Linked DNA regions of Xenopus tropicalis. The protein of the gene in region 4 purifies or fractionates together with the protein of the main gene of each other region. This does not show direct contact. Links are inferred from orthologs where the notes say so. Each region holds a gene or a part of one and is shown on either strand. Other genes may lie near its edges. The genes, in order: utrn, dmd.3, dtnb and tns2.

What was found.
Region 1: the proteins of tns2 (region 4) and utrn purify together in Homo sapiens (affinity purification with mass spectrometry; 4 studies listed by BioGRID and IntAct, with this or other methods). This does not show direct contact. The link is inferred for Xenopus tropicalis from reciprocal best matches to the Homo sapiens genes TNS2 and UTRN.
Region 2: the proteins of tns2 (region 4) and dmd.3 purify together in Homo sapiens (affinity purification with mass spectrometry; 3 studies listed by BioGRID and IntAct, with this or other methods). This does not show direct contact. The link is inferred for Xenopus tropicalis from reciprocal best matches to the Homo sapiens genes TNS2 and DMD.
Region 3: the proteins of tns2 (region 4) and dtnb purify together in Homo sapiens (affinity purification with mass spectrometry; 3 studies listed by BioGRID and IntAct, with this or other methods). This does not show direct contact. The link is inferred for Xenopus tropicalis from reciprocal best matches to the Homo sapiens genes TNS2 and DTNB.

The regions. Positions count from the first base shown.
Region 1 is NC_030681.2:45,459,810-45,465,602, reverse strand, and holds part of utrn (utrophin), read right to left. Parts: intron 5,117-5,793; coding exon 4,937-5,116; intron 4,474-4,936; coding exon 4,304-4,473; intron 3,432-4,303; coding exon 3,308-3,431; intron 2,273-3,307; coding exon 2,185-2,272; intron 1,090-2,184; coding exon 857-1,089; intron 217-856; coding exon 36-216; intron 1-35.
Region 2 is NC_030678.2:107,804,698-107,810,490, forward strand, and holds part of dmd.3 (dystrophin), read left to right. Parts: intron 1-407; coding exon 408-545; intron 546-2,364; coding exon 2,365-2,517; intron 2,518-4,309; coding exon 4,310-4,492; intron 4,493-5,793. UniProt on the Homo sapiens protein: Anchors the extracellular matrix to the cytoskeleton via F-actin. Ligand for dystroglycan.
Region 3 is NC_030681.2:161,052,102-161,057,894, forward strand, and holds part of dtnb (dystrobrevin beta), read left to right. Parts: intron 1-4,375; coding exon 4,376-4,589; intron 4,590-5,793.
Region 4 is NC_030678.2:147,555,108-147,560,900, forward strand, and holds part of tns2 (tensin-2), read right to left. Parts: intron 5,468-5,793; coding exon 4,117-5,467; intron 2,016-4,116; coding exon 1,492-2,015; intron 377-1,491; coding exon 290-376; intron 1-289. UniProt on the Homo sapiens protein: Tyrosine-protein phosphatase which regulates cell motility, proliferation and muscle-response to insulin. Phosphatase activity is mediated by binding to phosphatidylinositol-3,4,5-triphosphate (PtdIns(3,4,5)P3) via the SH2 domain.

The DNA.
Region 1 (5,793 bases), on a different chromosome or scaffold from region 4:
TTATTATATTATTAAGATATTTTCTAAATACAAACCTTTTTGAAGTTCCTGGGCTTGTTGCTCGGCTCTGTTCTTCACTCTGTGGTACTGATCTAGAAAGCCACTGAAACTGGAGCCAATAAAACCTGGAGCCATGGGGTGTGCGTTCAGTACCAACACAGCGGATTTTTGGTTTTCAATACGGAAGTTAATCTCATTGAGTCTGGATAAATTTTCCTAAAAAGAAATGTTAGATATTATACATGCATGTTCCATCACAGTGTTCTATAGCAACCCATTTGTAGGTATGTGCGTCACAAGGCAAATGCATTAAAAAAAATCAGCTTTTCCACTCCTTTTTCAGAAAATAAAAAAAGCAGACAGACAATCTGCCAATGTTTATACTATACATTTGGAAATGCTTTCATAAAAGAATATCAAACCTCTGCCTTTCTTTCATTCCCAGCACCGGTTGACAGAGTATAATAATAATTTATAAATATTGTTAATCATTCGCTGTCATCAATGCTAAATGACTATGCCATACTATATGAACAACAACTGTATAACACTGCCAGACGTAAGAGTTAAAGCTTAACAGCACGTGCCAAATTATAAATTCCTGATAAAAAAAAGCTGTGTCACACCATACCCATTCAATAAAATGCCTTTTCATTAGTATTAAATAATGGCATACCCCCCTGGAGGTATAGTCTGCACTGGTACGTTGGTTTGAGTTCATTTTAATAAGGATAATAAAAACATGCTTCTGACACCTGGTCAGACAAAACTTTAATTAACACGGGACTGCATGGTGCCTTTAAGTTCAACATATAAGGAGTACTTATATGGATGAAGGGAAGCTACCATTACTGACCTTGCTGGATTCCACTTGGAATTCCAGTGACTGTTCTTGAGATGCAGAGGTAGCCAGTCTATTCTCCACCTGGTTTAACATTTGCCCCAAGCTCTCCAGCTCTCTGAAATGAGCACTGATATCATCCTGATAATGTATCCCCTTCTTCAGCTCATCCAGTTGCTGGGAGGTCTTTTTCCATTCAGACTGAAGCCTATCCAAGGAGTCTGTCAGGCCTTCATCAGGTATATCTTCTGCACCAACCCCCAGAAATAAGACAAAGTATAAGTATAATGCAAAGTACACACATAGAAAGGGGTTATTTGTGATAATGACATAAATAATGCTGTGCGACTCTGTATCCACACTACGTTTCTTTATAACTAACTAAAGGGCAGTGTGTCACAAGCAAGAATTACAAGAGCTATCAAATAACAGATACAAAACTTGGGTTGAACTCTCTTTTCACCTTTGAAAAATATGTACCTAATAATCCTTTACAAGTGCATAGAGGAAGGTGGACTAGCAGACCCCCATGCAGTACACTATTTGATCATATTGTTGCTTATACCGGTATGACTATGGTATGATCCTACCCTAAATAGTAGTTTTGTGGATATGTTGGTTTGTGTTGTTTGCAATATTTTAAATAAAAAGGCAGCATCATACAATAGAACACAGAAAGTTAAATGTCCGGGGAAAAACAAAATTAAACAAATCATAAAAAATGCTATGCAATTCCCTAAATCCTTGGCTGCATTTAACTATAAACGGTATAAATGGGAGAAAGTTCAGAGCCTCCCCGTCTTACTTATACACTCGCCCTTTTGCCTGGTAAAAGGCCAGCTTTAATGGAAGTACCCTTGAAGGACACTTTATTTGAGTACCCATCAATGTATGGCACACAAGGTGTGTTAGTTCAGGATGAATTGTGCCGACAGTGGAGAAAAGTCAGGAAATTAAATGATAAGGAAAAGGTTAGCCATCATTCAGCAACTTCCGAATAATATTTGAACAGCTGTAGAAACGAAACAACATTCAACACAGAGCTGGAACTGTCTTGCCGTGCAGCCAAAGAAAGCCAATGAATAAAAAATGCTTATTTTGCAATGAGAAACTTAAAGATGCTCCAAGGCAAGTTACAAGTCAAACGTTTGCCCACGATTACATAGGAAGGGTTCCATACTCAACACACCCTTGAAAAATTAATGCTAAAGGAAAAAACAACATTTTTGCTTCTATGCAGATTATGACTGAATTAGACTAGTGCAGGATATATAATTACTTTCTATTTGCTACGGTTTAGTTCATGATCACAGTTTAGATCATAGAATGTTATATGATCGTACCTTCCTTGCACAGCTCTAACATGTACTGTCCTTTAAGGAAAAGTTCTTCAAATATTTGCGTTCTGTTCATCTTTTCTGTCTCCATAGCCTGAAATTGAACACAAACAAACAAATAATCTTTACTAAATCAAATGTCTATGAGGACTTCTACTTTTATAGTATAGCAAAACAATAGAGGGCCACAGAGCGAGAATCATTTCCCCAGAGCAACCCTATAGATTTCTCTAAACTTCCAGCACATCTCAGTAGCGTTAAGCTGTCAATCAGAGGTTGCAAAAAGTAATTCAACAACATCTTGCATGCCACCAATTATCCATTATTGGCCTATTTAACAAATTACTTAACATGGTTTTAATATTCTCCTTATTTATGAATTTAATGGTGCAAGAAGGTCCCAGAGCACCAATGCATCTGCTCCAGCTATCAGTGCACGCATGCAAAAGGCAAGATTTTAATAGGTAAAGTAAAGGCAACACTACAACCCAGCCCACAAATAAAATGAAAATAGGAAAGTGGGTCTATTATCACTCTATACTATATGTCAATCTACATTAACACAATATCAGTTCAGGAAATGGCAGCAATCTGCTACACTGTTCTAACAGAGAGGGAAAAAAGCCAAATTCAATCTGAATACTACACTGTACAGACCAGTGATATCCCAACCCAGCAGTTAGAAATATATTGGAGTATTCAGGTCTACAGTGGCAAATTACGGTTTTGCCACCCAGAAGATTTTAATTAATGCATTCTGATTCTTTATAAATGATCATGGAAATATAAAAGTTCCTGTCCAGGAATGTGAAAATACAGGGCAAAGCTTTGATTTCCAGAGTGAACATGGACAGAAAAAGAAATAGAACACAGAATTAATGATGCATATCCTATAAAATTGCCCAATGAAAAGCAAACTCTCATAAAGTCTCCCTGCTGATTATTTATGTACACACAATGCAGATGACTCCATTATCTTTGGTTTGACAGAGCAGGCAGCCAATAAAGCTGCAGAGTAAAGATTATGCAGTTTGACGGCAAGACTACAGATCATCCCTCTGGCTGGTACATAGTTTACAACAGACAAAACACCTATTCAGAAAGACTTCCTTCCCATGTTTCACATTACCTTTAGCATTTCTTTTACGTCCAAGGTTTCGCTAATCTTTCTATAGTCACTGATCTCTGCAGTTTGAAGTGCAGCTTTGGATTTTATCATCCAATTCAACAGTTCAGCAGCTTCAACATCAAATCTGAAGTAAAAAAAGGCAAAATAGGTCTGAAAGTGGTAGTTCAACTTTACATGAACTTCTAATATGATATAGACATGATGCATTTTGCAGTTGGTCTTCATTTTTTTTTTGTATGTTTTTATTTGTTGTTATTTTACTTTTTGTTCAGCCAAACATACAGTTTGGTATTTTAGCAGTTATCTGGTTGCTAGGGTCTTAGGCAACTGAACCCATGTTTTGCAGGTCCCACATTCTCCTACTTAGCATTTCTCTAAATAGAGGCAAGCTAAACCAGTGTTCTTGTATCAAATAGTGCTGGGAGGTGTATTCCCCTTACACTGTAGTATGTATTGCTATTAAAGGGCATTCATTCTTAATTCTAAGAAATATTCTGCTGAATATATGCTAGGAAACAAAATTGTATACTAGAGTGTTCCTTGCATCACCAAGGTCATTTACTCTTCTATGGTAAACTAAATATGTCAAGGTTGCAGGGGAAGCAAACCACAATAGCAGAATCCTACATACCTTAATAAACATATTACGCTGAAAAGACGCAGGCATTGTGTGATACCTATGAGTGAGGCAAAACCTCTCCTGAATATCAGTTCATGGTTACAGGATCCTATCTGCCATTTCTACTATTCTGTATATAGAATTTATTGATTGTATTTTCAACTATTAGTCAGTCCTAGGAAATGCCCACAAATATACTGTTCTAAATATACTACAATAAGCAGAAGGTTAGGTACTGACATGTACAGGTAGACCAAGCACACACTTCAGGTGGCAAAGTAATGCCTCATGGAAGAGGAGATGTGGATGTGACTGGTAATAGTGTGGCTTAATACAAATCTGATATTTTATCGCAATCTACTTGTTTCAAAACCCACTTTTTCTTCTCCTCTGAGTCCAGGAGCATTTGCCGTTTCTTTGGTGGTGGTGGAGGGGGAAGGTCTTGCTTGGTAAGATGAATAAATTCATGTTCTTTAACCGTTACTGTTTCAATAACAACCTTGCGCGATACTTGGGTAACCCCTAATGTTGTTACAGCTTCAGAAACCTGAAAGGAAAGAAGCAAACAAAGTATGGGGAAACCCAGTAAATAATTGCATGCTATGTTCTGTAGTGTAAAGTATGAAACAATTGAAGCTGCCACGCCCCCTATTGGTGAGAGGAACCTGATTCTCTGGCCTAAAGGTAGGCTACTATGGAGCCTGAGTTTTTTTGCGCCCCAGGATTTTTAACTGTGGGGTGCCTGAACTCTCAGGATTGGAGTACCTCTTGTAATAAGGCACTTTTCTTCTGGCATATTATGCAGCACCTTTTTTACCCCAGCCTTCTGCCCCAGGATGAGAATTTTTATTTTATTTATTTATTCTTTACTTCACTGTTTGTCACCTGGCACATTTATTTTTGTATATTTTTCACTTGGAACTGGTCAGAAGCATAACTTGTTTGCACTGGGCCCCCATGCAGAAAAATCTGAGAGGGCCCGGTGCAGCCATTCTCTCCTCTTAGCATACCTGGTTAGTGTATTCCTCCAGCTGATGCACCAGTCCATCCCATCTCTGGGCAAGATCTTCCATGTCACCCTTGAGATTCCTAGAAGCCTTACTATTGCCAACAAGCTGAACCAAATCCTGTGCTATCTTATGGAGATGGTCCAAAGTCTTGCGTTTCATTCCCATTTCTTCCTTTAGAACCTTAATACAAACCAGAAAATAAGCACTTCTGTCTGCTAAGCATGTTTCACTTTTTTTTCCTTATCCGACCAAAATTTTTTAACCTGGTCGAACGACTAAACGACCGTTCGCCATGGTACGAAATTTATGGGGGTGATAATTCGGAGCTCACATACAGTTCCAAAATTGTACAAAACTAGGTTTCATTCGATTTTATCGGTATGTGTATGGCCAGCTTATATCAAGGATGTCAGCCCTGTGGACCTGTTCCTTCTAGTGGTATAATCAAGCAAATGAAATGCTAAAAATGGTTAGAAAATCCCTTTGTAGTATTAATTACAATTACCGTCTCTTGACAATATGCTAATTATGCTGGAATCTGAAGGGCCACGGTTCCTGTTTAATCCTTTTAAGACCGGACCAGCTAAACATGCTTCAGTGTGTGTATAGATTATTTCTGGTTTTCTTGTTCTATTCTGTACTGCACTGCAGAAATGGCGTTTGCTTCATTTATCATAATATTAAACTCAAACATTTCAGATTTGAGTGAACTCCCACACGTGCTTAAGTGAATAAACCAGTGGAAGAATTATTATGACAGATACACCTGTTCCTTTTGAGCCTATTCTGTGAGCCCATTATTCTTAATGAAGAAATGCAGAAAACCAAGAATGCCATGTTTTTTTTCTAGTCCAGTA
Region 2 (5,793 bases), about 40 Mb from region 4:
GAATTAAATTGCTGCTGTGGAAATTCACTCAAATGTTAGCCTTAGTAATAACTTCTCAAGTATAAAGACAGCAACATCCAGGGTAACTTTACACAAAAATCATTCTGTTTTATTCGTAACAGAGGTTTCCAAGAGAGAAGTAAATGGTAACCGTGCTCAACAAAAGTAATAGCAACTCACATTTTTTGTTCATTAACCAACACTAAAATTCCTTGGTATTCCCTTCCTCCAAGTTGCTGCCAATTACTACATCATTACTGTAATGTAATAGAAAACATTGATTTGCACTAATGCATATCTAGCAGAAGATGCAAGAGCATGAACGTCTCCCCCTTTTAACATCATGCTCTACTTTATTGTATTTTATCATAGTTTTCAAGTGTATTTTCTTCCTTTTTTGTGATCAGAGTGAAGATAATGAAGAGCCTGTGAAGGAATTGCTGCTAAGGGGAAATAATCTTCAACAAAAAATTACCGATGAGAAAAAATGTGAAGAAATAAAACTAAAGCAACAGCTTTTACAATCAAAACACAATACTCTAAAGGTAACCAGTATGATATATACATAGAAGGTTGATATTATAGTAAAATATAAAATTTTTATATGATTTTGTGCTTTTACTGTTAAGGATACAGTATGTCTTAATAATGTTTAAATATTTTATTTATATATATATATATATAATATATATGGTTTGGATATCATGAGCAAATGGAAAAATAGCAATTAGACAGTAATACAAATTTATGGGGGTAATTTATCAATAACTGAGTTTGATTTTTTTTCACGATTAAAGGTTTTTAGTGCTAAAACTCACAAAATTTGAAAAATGGTTCAAAAACTCTAATGTCTGATATTTATTAAGTGCAAAATAAATTAAAACTCTGTGTAAAACATCAGCATCTAAAAGCTTGCAAGTTTATCTAAAAGTCAATTAAGTTTGGAAAGTATTCAAGTTTTTTTTTATTCGAGTTTTCCATGTTAATAAATAAGCAAGCATTCAAGTTTTTTTTTAAATGTGAGTTTAATACAGTTAGAAAAACACACTTGAATTCACAAACTCGAAAACTGATAAATAAGTCCATTAGACTTAGAATTTTTGAGTTTTCATTGTATTTTTTTAAGTTTTTTTCTTTGCTTCTACTTACATCTGTATAGTTGCATTATCTGGCAAAATAACCCAGTAAATTTGCAATGCTGTATAAAATGCTTAATTCTGTTTTAGAATAAAAGTTGAAACAATTCTATACATATTTTAAGTATAAATACAGCAGCACGTCACATACAGCAGGGGCGTCACAAAGAGTTTTTACACTTTGTTCATAGGTAGAACATCTTACCTTTTAAAAATTTTGAAGTGCAGCAAAAGTAGGTTCATATAGCCACTGATCAGTATAATATAAAATGCATATTAGCAAGATTAATGTACATTTTGGGCAGATGCTGGTACCTCATGCTGAGAAGAAATATAATACAGGTATCGGACCCCTTATCCGGAAACCCATTATCCAGAAAGCTCCGAATTACGGAAAGCCCGTCTCCCATAGACTCCATTTTAATCAAATAATTCAGAATTTTAAAACTGATTTCCTTTTTCTATGTAGAAAAAAATCAGTACCTTGTAATTGATCCCAACTAAGATATAAATAATCCTTATTGGATGCAAAACAATCCTATTGGGTTTAATTAATGTTTTACTGATTTTTTAGTAGACTTAAGGTATGGAGATCCAAATTACGGAAAGACCCCTTATCCGGAATACCCTTGGTCCCGAGCATTCTGGATAATGGGTCCTATACCTGTATTCAAAATGTAAATTTATTTCTGAAACTGATTGCAACTTGATGTCTCTGGGAGTAATAAGTAATAAACTTACATCTTTACAGTACATTTTCATTTTCCAGTAGATAAGAAACAAAAATATTCTTGCAAAAGAAGAACACATATAATAATTTAATATGACAGTGTAGTTTTTAGATTTTGTCTGTTCTGAATATTTTTTAAGTTAAGATGTCCTGTTGATTAATAAATAATTAATATGAAACTTTATTTGAATGATTTCATTTTTCTTGACCAAGGTGAAAGTGGTTTGCTTACCAAAATGTTTTTGCACTTCTTAGAAATAATTTTGGGGCTCTTGTGGCTATATGGGGGCTAAACATAAATATTACAATGAAGATAATGCATTAGGAACAACAGTATACAAGAATTGGCTGATCAACCATAATATATATACTAGTAATACATTGATTCTGAGAAAATGAAGCTAGCAATGTGTAATGGAGTTGGAAATGGAAATTATTCCAGATTCTATTATATTCTAGGTGTGTATATATAATTCACTTTAAGTATTCTATACACAGATTTTGAGAACTCAAAGAAGAAAAAAGGCATTGGAGATCTCCCATCAATGGTATCAGTATAAGAGGCAGGCTGATGATTTACTAAAGTGCTTGGATGACATTGAAAGAAAAATTGCAAGTCTTCCAGATCCCAAAGATAACCAGAAACTTAAGGTATTCTCACTAAGTCTGCTCAGAGCATTGTTTTATCTAAATATTTTATATTCTATAAAAAAAATATTTTTGAACAGGCTGTAGCAGTCCATTATATTTAAAGGGCCATTTAAACTGTCAACAGTCAAAGAAAGAGCAATTAAAATAGGCAAAAGCATGCAGGGAAAATTCACAAGCTTTGCTAAACCTTTTCATGCTGACAGTTGGCATTTTGAGCTATGTTGTGTATTGCCATGTAAACAAACATGCAGCATAGCTCTAAGAGTTGACAGAAAATATGAAATCTATGTTGAAGGCATTAAGGTATTTTTATGCCAGCACCATAGAAATCTTGTGTGAGTGTTCTTGGTCATTTAGTTTCATATGAATTCATAAGGTGCCACAGAACCTATTGCTACACTAAAGTTTTCCTGCATTAAGTTAGGAAACTCAAATGCCACAGAGTGGCATAAGGATTATTTAAAATTTGAAATACTAATTCTTCATCGCAATGAGCCAAACAAAAGCTAGCTTGTCCATTAATATGCCAGACCTTTTAGCAGTACATGAAATAACAGTATTATATTAAGAGTTATGTAGTCTAGGGCATCTATTGAGTATATCAACAGGCCCTTGTAATCAAATAGATATACCAACTAATGTATTCACTGTGGACCCAGATATGGGCATTTTGGTTAGCTGACCATCATTATCTGTCTTTGTATATGCTGATTAATTTGACATTACTTAATAGTATTATTGAATTACTTCTTTCAAGCTTTCAAGTCATACATATAATTAATTTACAAAGTCACAAAATACAATTTACTGGCACAGCAAAGTCACACTGTCTGGAAGCACTTATTGAGAAGGGGACAACAAATTTATTAGCAGTTCACAACACTCCCCACATCATTTATTTGACATATAACATTATTACTACAGGAGCTAAAAAAATTGTTAACAGTCAATTGTTATACAATCTGGTGGAGCTTAGTTGGACACCAAAATATGTATGGCAATATGTACTAAACAGCATTAATGGAATGAAAATATGTAACAATAAGAATGAAAAGTTTATTACACTGCAGATTTTTTACTATGGGATATATAATTTTAAGACCAGCCTAAAGGTGGCATAATTTATTTGCATAACAGTTATAACAATAATGTTATATTGCATACATTATGTGCTGGTGCAAATGATGAAACAATCTTTTTTTAATAAATCCTTTTCAGTATTTAAATGAATAAAAGAAAGGTGGCAATGTATTTGCATTTGAATCATGTTCAAATGTTTTAACTTCTGTTATAATGTTTCTTTGTTCCAGATGATCTAATGACTAACAGTACGTGGATGACCTCTCTCATATTAGCACACTTCTTTCATCAAAACATGCTCATATGTTACTGTGTAGTCACTCAAACAGTTCATAACTCTTAATTTGGATCACTTTATTTTGCTTCATTGTTGCTTTAATTTGCAATTCAGTCACAATATAAAATTAAACATTGGCCTTTGTCTGTTCTGTAGATGTAACTGACAAGTTTTATATAGAAAGCATGTAATAGCTTGTATACCTATATGAATAGAAATTCATATCTAATTTACAATTAAACAATGATCCCAAGAATCTTAATTACACTGGACATTCTTTGTATACTAGTGTAAGTTTTGTAATGCATTTTAAATTCACTTGCTACATTAAAAACAAGGGGTTGGAAGAAGACAAAGTATTGCTACTACATCTAATGCAAATTACTTAAGTAGTTAGCTAACTGCTCTGGGCCCTGTATTGGTTTTACTCAATAGGAGATTGATGGAGAACTGGAGAAGAAGAAAGAAGAACTGATTTCAGTGCACAGGCAAGCTGAAAGTTTGTCTAAGGAAGGGGCTGGCAAAGCAGTGGAGCCAACTCTGATCCAGCTCAACAAACGCTGGAAAGAAATTGAGAGCAAATTTGCTCCATTCCGAAGACTGCACTATGCACAAATTGTGAGTTGCTATTGGCAAACGTGTTTGTTTGCAACTAACCAAATACTACTAACAAGAAGGAAAAATGTGTGGCCATTTTCCCTGCTGAGTCTTCAAAAAATGTTTGAGCGTGGCCTCCTCTGTCTGTACTACATCCTCTAATGTTATAACCAACCCTTGTACAACACTGTTTCAAAATCATTATATCATATATTAATGCATGTTACTATTTGTTGCTTTGTTCATTTGTTCATAACATTCATATCTAGTGAGAAGTAAAAGCAATAGGAATCCAGATATCCATCCCATGCTGTTTTAATTTCTTTATTTTGTTTTGTTTTCTAATTCAATTATAAAGACCAACATATAGATGTTGTGTGAGTCAGTAGTGCATAAAACTTTGCCCTTGATATTTAACTTGTGTAACTCATTATACTGTATCTTGGCTTTTTTTTAATACAAACTCAGGAATAATTGTTCTTTCACTTATAATCATGAATACAGCAAGTACTGAGAGATGATTTTGGGGATTAAGTCATTTTTTTCCAAATGTTCTATCATCAAGACTTGATGGAAAGTACAGTACCATGGATACAGCTGTATTATTGACTTGACCATGTCACCTCTTCTTAAAAGTTGGCTTGTTAAAGATTTTTAGTGGCCTGGTTTTGTGCACCCTGATCTCACATTATCTGGTCTGTGTAACATATAGGACATATATAATACATATTTTAATTATTAAGGTGGTTTAATACTATTGGCTTGAATCCCATATAGCACTATCATAAGTAAAGTAAATTATATTAGTATCTGTGGATATGCAAGCATTAAATGAGCTATGACTCAGTGTAGATTTTTTTTTTTTTAATATAAATGTCAATCATAGTACATTTGCTTGTATTATAGGCAGCAATGGTTTGTCTAATTATGTATGTGTTTTTCATTCATTAGACTGACAGAAGCACTTCTGTGGATAGAATGGTGCAAAAAGTTTTCTAAGAATATGCAAAAGCAATTCTGTTTTAGTGTTTAACCTGGGCAAGACCTTAATAATGATCACAAAAATGCATCATCCTGTCCATGAAAGTGGAATATATTTTAATAATAGTAATTGCAGTAAAGGAATGGAAATAGTTCCTGTTAGGGGCTTCTCATACCTTTAATTTGCCTTCAATGACTTTCTAAGTGACTTTAAAGGGTATCATATAAGTAGTTAGCATATGTTTATTGAATATGTAAGATCTCTGAGACAATATGGCTGAAGACAATAAGTAAATGCATCCAGTAAAAGTAGTTGTATAGAAATGTGCATTTACTCACTC
Region 3 (5,793 bases), on a different chromosome or scaffold from region 4:
CGGTGCCTTCTCTTTCTACGTACGGTTTCATCATATTTACATGGACCGTCTTATACTGGTCCTGGTTATCAAGAGGGGAGACCACGTAAGTAGTATCATGAATGGATTGTACCACCACATAGGGCCCTTCCCAGGCTGCTTGCAACTTGTCTGACCTCATTGGTGTCAGTAGTAACACCTTGTCCCCCGGACCGAATCGCCGGTCCCTGGCATTCCTATCATACCAAACTTTTTGTTTGGTTTGAGCAGCTGTCAGATGTTCCTTCACCAGAGCGGTCATTTTCTCTAGACGTTTACGAAATTGTAGAACATAAGGAACTACAGGAAACTCAGGGAATTGGGCTCCCCCCTCCCAGTACTCCCTTAGCAAGTCTAGGGGGCCTCGAACCCGCCTCCCATACAACAACTCAAAAGGAGAGAACCCAGTAGACTCTTGGGGAACTTCTCTATATGCAAACAAAAGACAGGGCAGAAACTTCTCCCAGTCACCTTCTCCAGCCTCCACAAAAGTTCGTAACATATTTTTAAGAGTCCCATTGAAACGCTCACACAGGCCATTAGTTTGAGGGTGGTACGGGCTTGAGCGAAGAGAGGTGACCCCACAGCGCTGCCATAGACACTGAAGTAATTGGGACATAAACTGTGGCCCTTGATCGGATAGGATCTCACTAGGAAACCCTACTCGTGAAAAAATCTGAATCAGTGCATCTGCAACGGCTGGGGCATCAATTCTCCGTAAAGCCACCGCCTCTGGGTACCGGGTGGCATAGTCTACCATTGTAAGTATATATTGCTTGCCTGTCCTGCTGGGTCGGCTAAGGGGTCCTATCAAATCAACAGCAACTCTCTGAAATGGCTCCCCTATCACTGGTAAGGGTCGCAATGTATGCTTGTTCCGCTCCCCACTTTTCCCAACCCTCTGACAGCTGTCACATGATCGGCAGAACTGTGCCACTTGTTGTGACAACCCTGGCCAATAGAAATTTTGTAGCAGGCGATAGCGCGTGCGAGAAATCCCTTGGTGCCCTGCGAGGGGTACCTCATGTGCAAGGTGCAGCAACTGGGTCCTAAATTTGGCAGGCACCAACAACTGACGGCATGCTTCCCTTTGTTTTCCTCTAGGGCTTTTGAGGACTCTATAGTACAACCCATCCTCCTGCACTATTTGTTCCCCTGCTTCGGTACCTACCACCCCTTGCCCAGCTCTGTCTCTTAATGGCTGAAGACTAGGGTCTGCTGCTTGTTCAGCCCTAAAATCCTGCCAATTACCTATGTCAAATGAGTCATCAGTCACATCTGTCTGCCCATTTACCTCCTGGACAACTGCCGGTGGCTCGCCTGACTCTGCCTGCCGCCTCGTGATGCTGCAGCAAATGTCTCCCACATCATTTCCAAGCAGGACATCAGCAGGAAGTTGATCCATGACCCCCACTTCATGCAGCACGGGCCCTTCTCCCCAGTCCAAAGTCACTTGTGCAATTGGCACCTCTCTGCGCTGTCCTCCAGCCAGAATCACTCGGGCCATTTTCCCCAGAACGATGCGATTTAACGTCACCACACTAGGTTCCGCCAGAGTTATAAAGGCACCAGAGTCCAGGAAACCTTCCACTGGGTTTCCATCTACTTGCACTGGAATCACATGGCATTTTCTCTTGGACTGATCTGCCCAGTGTATCTGCATTACTGCAAATTCGGGGGTCTCACTTAGGTTGATTTCAGGCAGGTCACACTCTGCACTTTCCTTCTGAACAGTGGCGACAGGTCGAGCAGGCGTCACCTTTGGAGCCCCTGACACAGAAGGAGATCGCTGGTTTAGAGGGCAAGAAGCTTGAAAGTGACCCAGGGCCCCGCATCGAAAGCAGCTTCTAGGTCCAGCCCCTGGTAGCGGTGGGTGGGGAGCAGCATTAGTGCCAGTGGAATGCGGATGAGAGCCTGGCAGCTCTCTTGCCCTGGGACCTGTTGTACCTGGTGCTTGGGGCCCTCTCTTTGTAGGCATCCTGGTTTCCATATACTTGTCTGCCAACTGGGCAGCTTCTTCTACTGTCTGTGGCTCACGGTCTACAACCCACTCTCGGACTCCTGGGGGGCACCGCTCCAAAAATTGCTCTTTCAGGCATAATTGCCTTAAGTCCTCCATTGTTTCAGCCCCAGACCCTTTAACCCACTTGTCAAGGGCCCTTGATAACTTGTTACCAAACTCAAGGTAAGTATCCTGGGGGGTCTTTAGCAGTGACCGGAATGTTTGCCGGTAAAACTCTGGGGTGATAGCATAACGGATCAGCAATGCTTGTTTAATCTCCTCATAGTCCAGTCTTTGTTCATCAGACAAGGCCCGAAATGTAGCGCTGGCCCTTCCAGTTAGCTTGCCAGAAAGGATTCGGGGCCAGTCCTCTTCTGAGATGTTATGGGCCCTGCACATAATTTCAAATGTCTCTAGAAAGGCATCAATGCTGTCCTGCCCTTCGTGAAATGTGGGGAAGGCAGTGGCAAGCTTCAGAATGTCTCGTGCCCGACTCTCCACTGAGGACACGGATAGCCTACCATGCTCCCCTAAGCCATGTCCTTCACTGGCCACCTCCTCCTGCACCATTTTCATCAACTCCATCTTTTCTGCCACAGTCAGCTCCTCACGGAACAATTCCAGCCTTTGTTTAAACACCTCTCCAACCCTGTCTCGGGTAGGGTTGGCTGGTGGCCCCCGGACCGCTTCAGGGGCCCCAGCAATAGCAACATCTGATGTAACAGTCTCAGCATCTGAATGTAGGAGGGGCAGCAGTAAAGCAATAATCTCTGCCTTTTTCTTCCCTTCTGGGGCTATGCCCCTTCTGCGACTCCACTTTCTCAGAGTGGCAAGGGTTAACTCCTCCAGGTTTACCCCCCACACCCTACTATGGAGCCTTCGCTGCCAGAAGATAAAATAGATCCGGTGGGGGTGCAGTTTTGAGCCGTTCCTGGCACAGATACCCCCACACACTGCAGGGTGGCACAAAAGAAAGGACCAAGTGAATGTATGCCTGCAGTTTGCCAATAAAGCACTGGAGTGGCCCAAATAGGCCAAAATAAAGTTTTTGTTATCCTCAAGGTCAAATCAGTAAGCGTGGGCTGCTCTCCCCCCGCAGGGATGTGGCACCTTGGGCACCTTGTTAGGCTAGGGGCCACTGGCACAGACACACCTTTCATCGGAGTTCTTCTATTTTCATATCTTTTATTGATCCAAGGATAAACAACATATAACCCTGTATGCTCTTATGTGTAGTCCAATATAAACATCTATACAAAGCACAGGCTTTTTATATACTCACATTATCTTCATACACTCCATGTATTAATCTCATATACTCCAAATACTCATAATATACTCAGGTTATCCTCTATACACTCTTACTCCTACTTCTACTGTTCTCAGATTGTCCGTTGTGATAGGATCTGTTATTCGGAAACACTTTATCCACAACATACATAGGTGCCATTTCCTACACTGTCCTGTTCTGTTTTATTTCCCCGATGGGATATAAAGATTCAGTGATTTGTTAGTTTCGCCTCGGCGGGGCTCCCCTCTGTCCTACCCCCATACTTACCCCCTGACCCACCCCTGTACTTACCCCTTGCGCTCTGTCCCACCTTTGTACTTACCCTCTGTCCTACCCCTGTACTTACCCCCTGCCCTCTGTCCCACCCCCATACTTACCCCCTGCCCTCTGTCCTACCCCTGTACTTACCCCCTACCCTCTGTCCCACCCCCATACTTACCCCCTGCCCTCTGTCCTACCCCTGTACTTACCCCCTGCCCTCTGTCCTACCCCTGTACTTACCCCCTGCCCTCTGTCCTACCCCTGTACTTACCCCCTGCCCTCTGTCCTACCCCTGTACTTACCCCCTACCCTCTGTCCCACCCCCATACTTACCCCCTGCCCTCTGTCCCACCCCCATACTTATCCCCTGCCCTCTGTCTTACCCCTGTACTTACCCCCTGCCCTCTGTCCTACCCCCTGTACTTACCCCCTGCCCTCTGTCCTACCCCTGTACTTACCCCCTGCCCTGTCCTACCCTTGTACTTACCCTCTGTCCCACCCCCTGTACTTACCCTCTGTCCCACCCCTGTACTTACCACCTGCCCTCCGTCCCACCCCCGTACTTACCCCCTGCCCTCTGTCCCACCCCCGTACTTACCCCCTGCCCTCTGTCCCAACCCCGTACTTACCCCCTGCCCTCTGTCCCAACTTTGTACTTACCCCCTGCCCTCTGTCCCACCCCCGTACTTACCCCCTGCCCTCTGTCCCAACCCTGTACTTACCCTCTGTCCCACCCCTGTACTTACCCCCTGCCCTCTGTCCCACCCCTGTACTTACTCCCTGCCTTCTCCTCTCTCTTTCAGTTCACCTGGTTGACATTTGGAATATGATAGAAGCTTTCCGGGACAACGGCCTTAACACACTGGATCACAACACAGAGATAAACGTGTCCCGGCTAGAGACCATCATATCGTCCATATACTACCAGCTCAATAAGCGCCTCCCTTCCACCCATCAGATCGGCGTCGACCAGTCCATCAGCCTTCTGCTCAACTTCATGATCGCTGCTTATGACAGGTCGGTCCCGTCGGCTTTCCCTGTATGTGTGGGTGTCAGCAGTGATTCCCTTCTGGTTCCGACTACTGACTCAGCTGGGAATGTTCTATATACACAGAACCTATTCAGTGCCAGCAAGCAGACTTTGCAGTAATACCGGCCCAGTAACAGAGCAAGGGCAAGTGGGGCAATACCCCTGCATGTTTATTGGGTAAGCTGCAACATTTCAGCCCCCCAGTCACATGCAATAAACATACAGGGGGTTGCCTTCTATACCGAGCGCCGAGCCCACAGTACCAGCAAAGATATGAGATTCTGGTTATACTGGGTTTGTTCCACATCCGAACTGTACCTAGTGATCTTATTAGCAGTAATAATTCACTATCCCTTTAGGCCAGGAGAGGCCCTGTAGATCTGCTAAGGCGGATGGAGTCAGAGGGAAGCTCCAATCAAGGCATTGGCAGCCTACAGAGAAATCCATGTTGTTGTGGTTAGTGGCTTGTACTGGAAACCAACCTATGTTTTGTCTCGGGAGCAAATTGGGAAAGAAGCTTAAATTATATGCCCTGGGGTTAAACAGAAACTCCGGTTGGGAGAGAAGCCACATCCACAAGGGGAAGGTGGAGAGAAGGGGGCTAACAAGTAAGGATTAGGGGCTGGATAAGGCACTGGGGCAGCCTGGGAAGGCAAGAGCTGGCTTTGGCTAAGGAGGCACACAGCTCTGTTTGTAGGGGAAATGGGAAGCTGATTGTAGATAACCCCACAGGGCTATGTTGCCTCAGGGCTAGGGTGCCTCAGGGCTAGGGTGCCAGAGGGCTAAGGTGCCTTAGGGCTAGGGTGCCACAGGGCTATGTTGCCAGAGGGCTGTGGTGCCAGAGGGCTGTGGTGCCACAGGGCTAGGGTGCCACAGGGCTAGGGTGCCAGATGGCTATGTTGCCTCAGGGCTAGGGTGTCACAGGGCTAGGGTGCCAGCCTAACCAAGGAGGAGTTAGGAGTTGTTCTTGTGCAGAAACATTCCAACTGCACAAGGAATTAGGAAATCTGTGGTGAGACTCAATTTGTAATATTTTGGCCGAGATCCACTCAGCTGAGAGGTTGCGTAAGACAAGCAGGCTGGGATAGAAATGCTCTGAGTGTGTGGCACTGTACCTGGGGGTATTATATGCTGAGCCCTGGTGTAGGGGCAGAAAAGCTCACTGTGTATCACTGCATCTGTCTTGTATTT
Region 4 (5,793 bases):
GAAACTAGCGAGCTCTTAGATATCTGTCCCTGCACACGCCTAAACCAATGTGTGCAACTATGTCCAATGGTAAAGTCTTAAACCACATATGGAAACCCCCATTACTTCTGTGGAATAAACAAATGCCATCTGACCCTGGAATGTCCCTGACTGACAAACAAATTGATTCAAAGCTGGACTCACTTAGTGCTCTTATCTGCCAGCCCTGACCCTTCCCTTCATCCCTAAAGAGACCCCCACTATCCCCTGACCTCTGTGCACTCTACATCTGCTTACACTTTATCAGTACCTTGCTCCCGGGAAATGGTCGGTTTATACCAAAACTTGGAAGAGTCTTGCACAAAATTTCCTGTAACTGGAACATCTTGCTGGGTATCTGAATAACAAAACAAAGAAATGGTTTCATTCATGAATAGCCAGTCATAAACAGTACAAATCCTGGTTATGTGTCTTCTGCACCGGGCAATGAATTATCCACACTGACACATAAGCAGTCTACCTGTAGATAGCGGCAGAACCGAAATATCCCTAAAAAAACCCAGCCACTTGGCCTGATCCCAATGAGCCACGCAGGATCATTCCTTTAGTATTATTGCAGTTGCGTGTATCATTTACAAATGCAGAAAAAAGCGTATTGTAAGTGTTTTGAATATTCCTCCAGCATCCCTCGACACAAGGCAGATTTGCTCTTGGCAGATGCTGATTTGCTTAAATGTTTATGTCTAGAAGCTGACTCCTTTCTTTTTGTAAGGTTATGTCTCTAAGGCCCCAAATATGAATAATAATTGGCTGAACTCTGGTTCCCCATGGCAGGTGGATCTCAGAATTCTATAGAATTTCATATAAACTGGGTTTTTTTTGGATTTTGGTTCCCCTTTGAAATTGTGTGTTTGTTCTGATTCACAACAAGGTCACCCACCTAAGGTTCCATGATTATTTGAGACAGTAAATAAGAATTTTCAATCATATTTCCAATTTTCATCCTAACTGGTCTTCACTGCGGGAAGCTTCATACAGATAAACTGCTCTAGGTGGGTCTTGAGTTTTACTACTCCTCCGACGGACACATTTCTTAAGGAGGTAATATACGGCCAACTAAAGCTGACCAAGAATCACCTAGATTCTCTATCAGTTGGACAGATTGATGTGGTGGTTGGCCAAGTCAGTCCCAGCTGTGCTTTGTTGGCAACTGTTAAAGGAGCAGATCCGGCAGTTGTAGGGCTATGTGTACTGCACGAGGTACATACTGGCATGGCATTAAAATTGCCAAATACAACCTGAAGGCCTTTAATTGCCAGTAAAGTTTTCACCCCTTTAGATCAGATTTGTTTTTTTAGAAACATGAGTGGTTTTGGTTCCCCCTTTACCAATCTAGTCCTTGGTGTTTAAACATCACAGGATATTACATCTGTCTCAATGTAATCTAATTACCCATGTGCTTCTATCTTGTTCAACAAGAATATGTCACTTATCAATGTACAAAATACCAACCCACTGGTGATGAATGGCCTTTGTTGCACTCAGACAGTCCATTGGGATCCACTTTTGCCCCGTCAGCTGGAGAGTGATTTTTTTCTGGCAGTCGTGGTGGCTGAATACTAGGTGGGCATGGACTGCTGGAATAATAGGCAGTTCTAATAGGGAATGAAGGAGTAGGAGAAGGAGGCAGGAGATCACTTTGACTTCCCATTGGGGATTTTGGTGGGCTGGTCGGTGCTTCTTTTCCTTGGGGATTTACAGGGCTGACTGGCAATGATATAGTGACACTTCTCTTCTGGAGTAGAACGGTGTGCTTCGGCACAGAAAAACTCTGAGAACAGTAACCTGACCCAAAAGCAGTTGTACCACTGGGAGATGAGATAGCAGGCCCAAATGTGGTGTGACTCCTTTTAGCCTCTGATGTTACTGGCAGGACAAACTTAGTTACATGTGACTGGGAGGAAGAAGTTGGCAATAATGTATTTGCTTCATTTGCACAGGGGGGAGCATTCACATGAGTTGCTGGTAACCCAGGCCTGTAAGTAAGAAATAACATATTCTCTTGTCAGAAAATTCCAAATATTTGTAAAGGCCACTTAAAGCAACATATTCATTCAGTATTTACTACTGTGCATCTACTCTTCCTTCATTCATTGTTATTTGCATAGACCAGCGTTTTTCAACCGCTGTTCCGCGGCACACTAGTGTTGAGATGTTGCCTGGTGTGCCGTAGGTGAAGACAAGACTCCCCCGGTCCCCTCTGGGACACCTTCCACTTCCTGGCTCCATGATGCCCGGAAATCGTCACTGCCTGTGACGTCATCCGGCATCGGATCCAGGAGGGCGGAGCAACCAGAGAGGAGAGGCAGCACTATCCTGCCCTGGCACAACCCGACCGGGGGGAGCAACTGCCCAGGCCCTGCCCCGACAGACCAGATCCACCAGGGGCCAGGCCCATGCACAGCCGCCCTACTCCCCACCGGAGGACAATCCTGGGACACCCCTGGATGCCGCAGCCTGACATGTAAGAAAACAATTAATAATAATATATATATAAAATTTTTGTGTGTATAAAAAAAAAATAAAAAATCAGTGGGGGGGGTGGGTTTGTGGAGAAAATGTCCCGGAAAATACTTTCTTTGTGTTTATTTGATTCCTATTCAAGAGAATTACTTTATATATAGTCAATATAGGCACAGAGTTAAATTTTTTAATGGTGGTGTGCCTCGTGATTTTTTTCATGAAACAAGTGTGCCTTTGCCCAAAAAAGGTTGAAAAACACTGGCATAGACAAACAGCATTATGGGATACTACATTGAGGAAACTTGAAGCTTAAAGAAACATAAAGCAGGGGAAAGCAGAGCAATAAAAAGTATGAGATTGTGCTTAAGGGCAAGGGCACACTGGCATATTGTCAGCTTGCGGATAAGCGCAGGCTCCCGTACGCTTACAAAAATCTTATTATTGTGCCTGCACCCAGTAGCATTGAATCCACCTGGTTGCAGGTATGTGATATCTGCCAACAACTGCCAAATCTAAAATAATTTTTTAAGCGCACAGATGTATTGTCAGCCTAGACTTATCCACAGGCTGATAATATGCCAGTGTGCCCTTGCCCTAAAGGAAAACTATACCCCCACAATGAACACTTAACCAACAGATAGTTAATATCATATTAAGGAGCCTATTAAAGAACTTTACCAAACTGCAATATATATAACAGTAAATATTGCCCTTTTACATCCTTTCCCTTGAGCCGCCATTTAGTGATGGGCTGTGTGCTCCCTCAGAGATCAGCTGACAGGGAATAATGCCGCTCTGACTGTAACAGGAAGTAGTGTGGGAGCAAAAGGCAGAACTTATACACTGTCTATTAGTTGGCTGATGGGGCCTAGCATGAGCTGTATGCAATATATTTTTATAGAGACCTACACTGTTGCCAGGTATAGTTTTCCTTAATAACAAGGAAGATGAGAAAGCTGCAAAAATATTTTTTCTCTTAAATCAAAATAGGCAGCCCTGCTGTGTACAAATGTGTATTATCTTCTAGCATCTTCACTACCATATTTATAGACTGGTTTTAGTCAGCTTTATCTCATCTGTACTGCCTTTACATGCTTTATTTAGTGCAACTTTAGCTGCAACTGAAAAGGCAAGTAGAGAAAAGTCAAAGTGAGTGGCCCTATTTATGTTTTCCTTTGGAGCCACCAGCAGTCCAACACTGACCAGAGATGGCCGGCACTGGCCCAAAAGAATAACATATAGAAACTAATTTAGCTGCATGAAGTAATGCAGATCATTCATAGCTGAGAGGTGGCAACTGCAAAATGTGAAAGGTAGGAGGGTGTTCCAAGAAACCCTAGTGATATTGGCAAATCAGCTCTGTAATATATATTATAGACATAAGGCTTATTCACAGTAAACAGAAAATGAAGGCAAAAATACAGTTCAGCCAATAAATGTAATTTTATATAATTTAATTCCACACTTACAATAAAAAACCTATTTCATTAAATTAACTTCTCAATATGGTTGGCTATTGCCTGTCTATTGCACTACTGACATTTATAATGGACTTACATAATGGTCATTAAGCATTCTTCTTTCTAGAGAGAACTGTACCACATATATTCTCACCTCTCAGTAACTACAGTGCTGTTTGGATGCGTAGGCACAGGTTTCTGGGTCGGCACCGATGGACTCTGACCACCAACGGTTCTGTACAGCTGCGTGTGCACAGTGCTGTGTAATTGGGCTTGACTTGCTTTAGGCACAGGATGGTGCAATTGTACTGGAGGGATTTGACTCTCTATAGAATTGTCTGTCTGCACCAGCTGACTCTGGGTATGGACCGTACTATATGGCTTTACTGATGAATTGTTTACACTTACAGAACTGTGAGATTGGACCATTTTTTGTTGAGGCCGATCTGTTTCTGTAAGTGCAAATGCTGTGGTCACAGGTGTCTGATCCTCTGAAATGTGGGTGTGATTAGGAGAATGTGGATATGAATTGGTGATCTGCCTGGCTACACAGTTGCCCGTCTGTGGTTCAGAGGGCAGTGCAGTGTTATGTACCTCTTTACTTGTGTTTTGTGTATGGTTGGAGATGTCTGATTGGTCAGGTGAACTCTTTGTGTTGACTGGATTGTTTGTTGGAAATGTCAGGCTGTGTGTGGGCACATTGTCTTGTGCTTGTCCACGTTCATCCAGTGAGTGCAGCTGGCCATGCCCTTGTACAGCCAAACTCATATGTTGGCTACTTCCATTTAACTGCACAGACGGACTGGACAACTGTGCAGTATGGCCTGTTTGGGAAGATGGACTGTGTGTTGGGGATGCAGGGCTTGTTTGACCCAAAGGCTGACTTTGAAAAGCTGCGTTCTGTGTGTTCATGGCTGGGTTGTGCGAGGGAGATGTAGGACAGATTTGCCCCTGACTATGATTTCGAAGCACTGGATTCTGTACATGTACAGACAGGCTTTGTGTGGGGGAAGTAGAACACGTTTGCCCCTGACTGTGGCTTTGAGGAGCTAGATTCTGTATGTGTACAGATGGAGCTGATCTGAGGGCTGTAGAGTCTGTTTGCCCCTGATTATGGCCTGGAAGAGTTGGACTGAGTGTAGGGGATGTAGGACTTGTTTGTATAACACTATGGCCCTGAAGGGTGGGATTCTGCACATTTACAAGGTTATTTGTCTGCACAGAATGGCAGTAAGTATTTATGGGAGTACTTGCATGCACAGGATTTTGTGGATACACAAAATTATCTGCTTGCACTGATCTATGGATGTGCATGTTAATATCTGAAGGATTAGCGGGGCTTCTTGGTATGTGAGCGACCATGGGTGCATTTGGGTGCGGAGGGCTCCCTTGGGTAGTAGAGTTGGCATGTACAATAGCAGAGGAGCTGACAGCCGGTCCTGTCTCGAGGTGCTTATGCAGCTGCAATGTTGGAGCATTTAACTTCATGGCACGTTCACTGGGCTCTGTAGGGGAAAAGGTAACATGCATGTACTTGAATTAGTCAGCTATGAAAGCAAGGAAATGATAGTAACTATTGCCTCTACATTCATCTCTAGGAAAACCCACCGGCAACAACTGAAACAGCATTGATTCGTTCTTGTGTAATCAGAGCAAAATGGGCACAAGTACGTTCTGTGGCCCAGTGTAGACAAATGAGCCAAAGCCGACATCTCACTCAACACTAAGACCCAGAACATTTTGTAAATAACCATGTCAAATCTTAAAATATTGTTTGAAATGAGCAAATATATTCTCACCATACTAACAGCCGCAAACTCACAGTGCACAA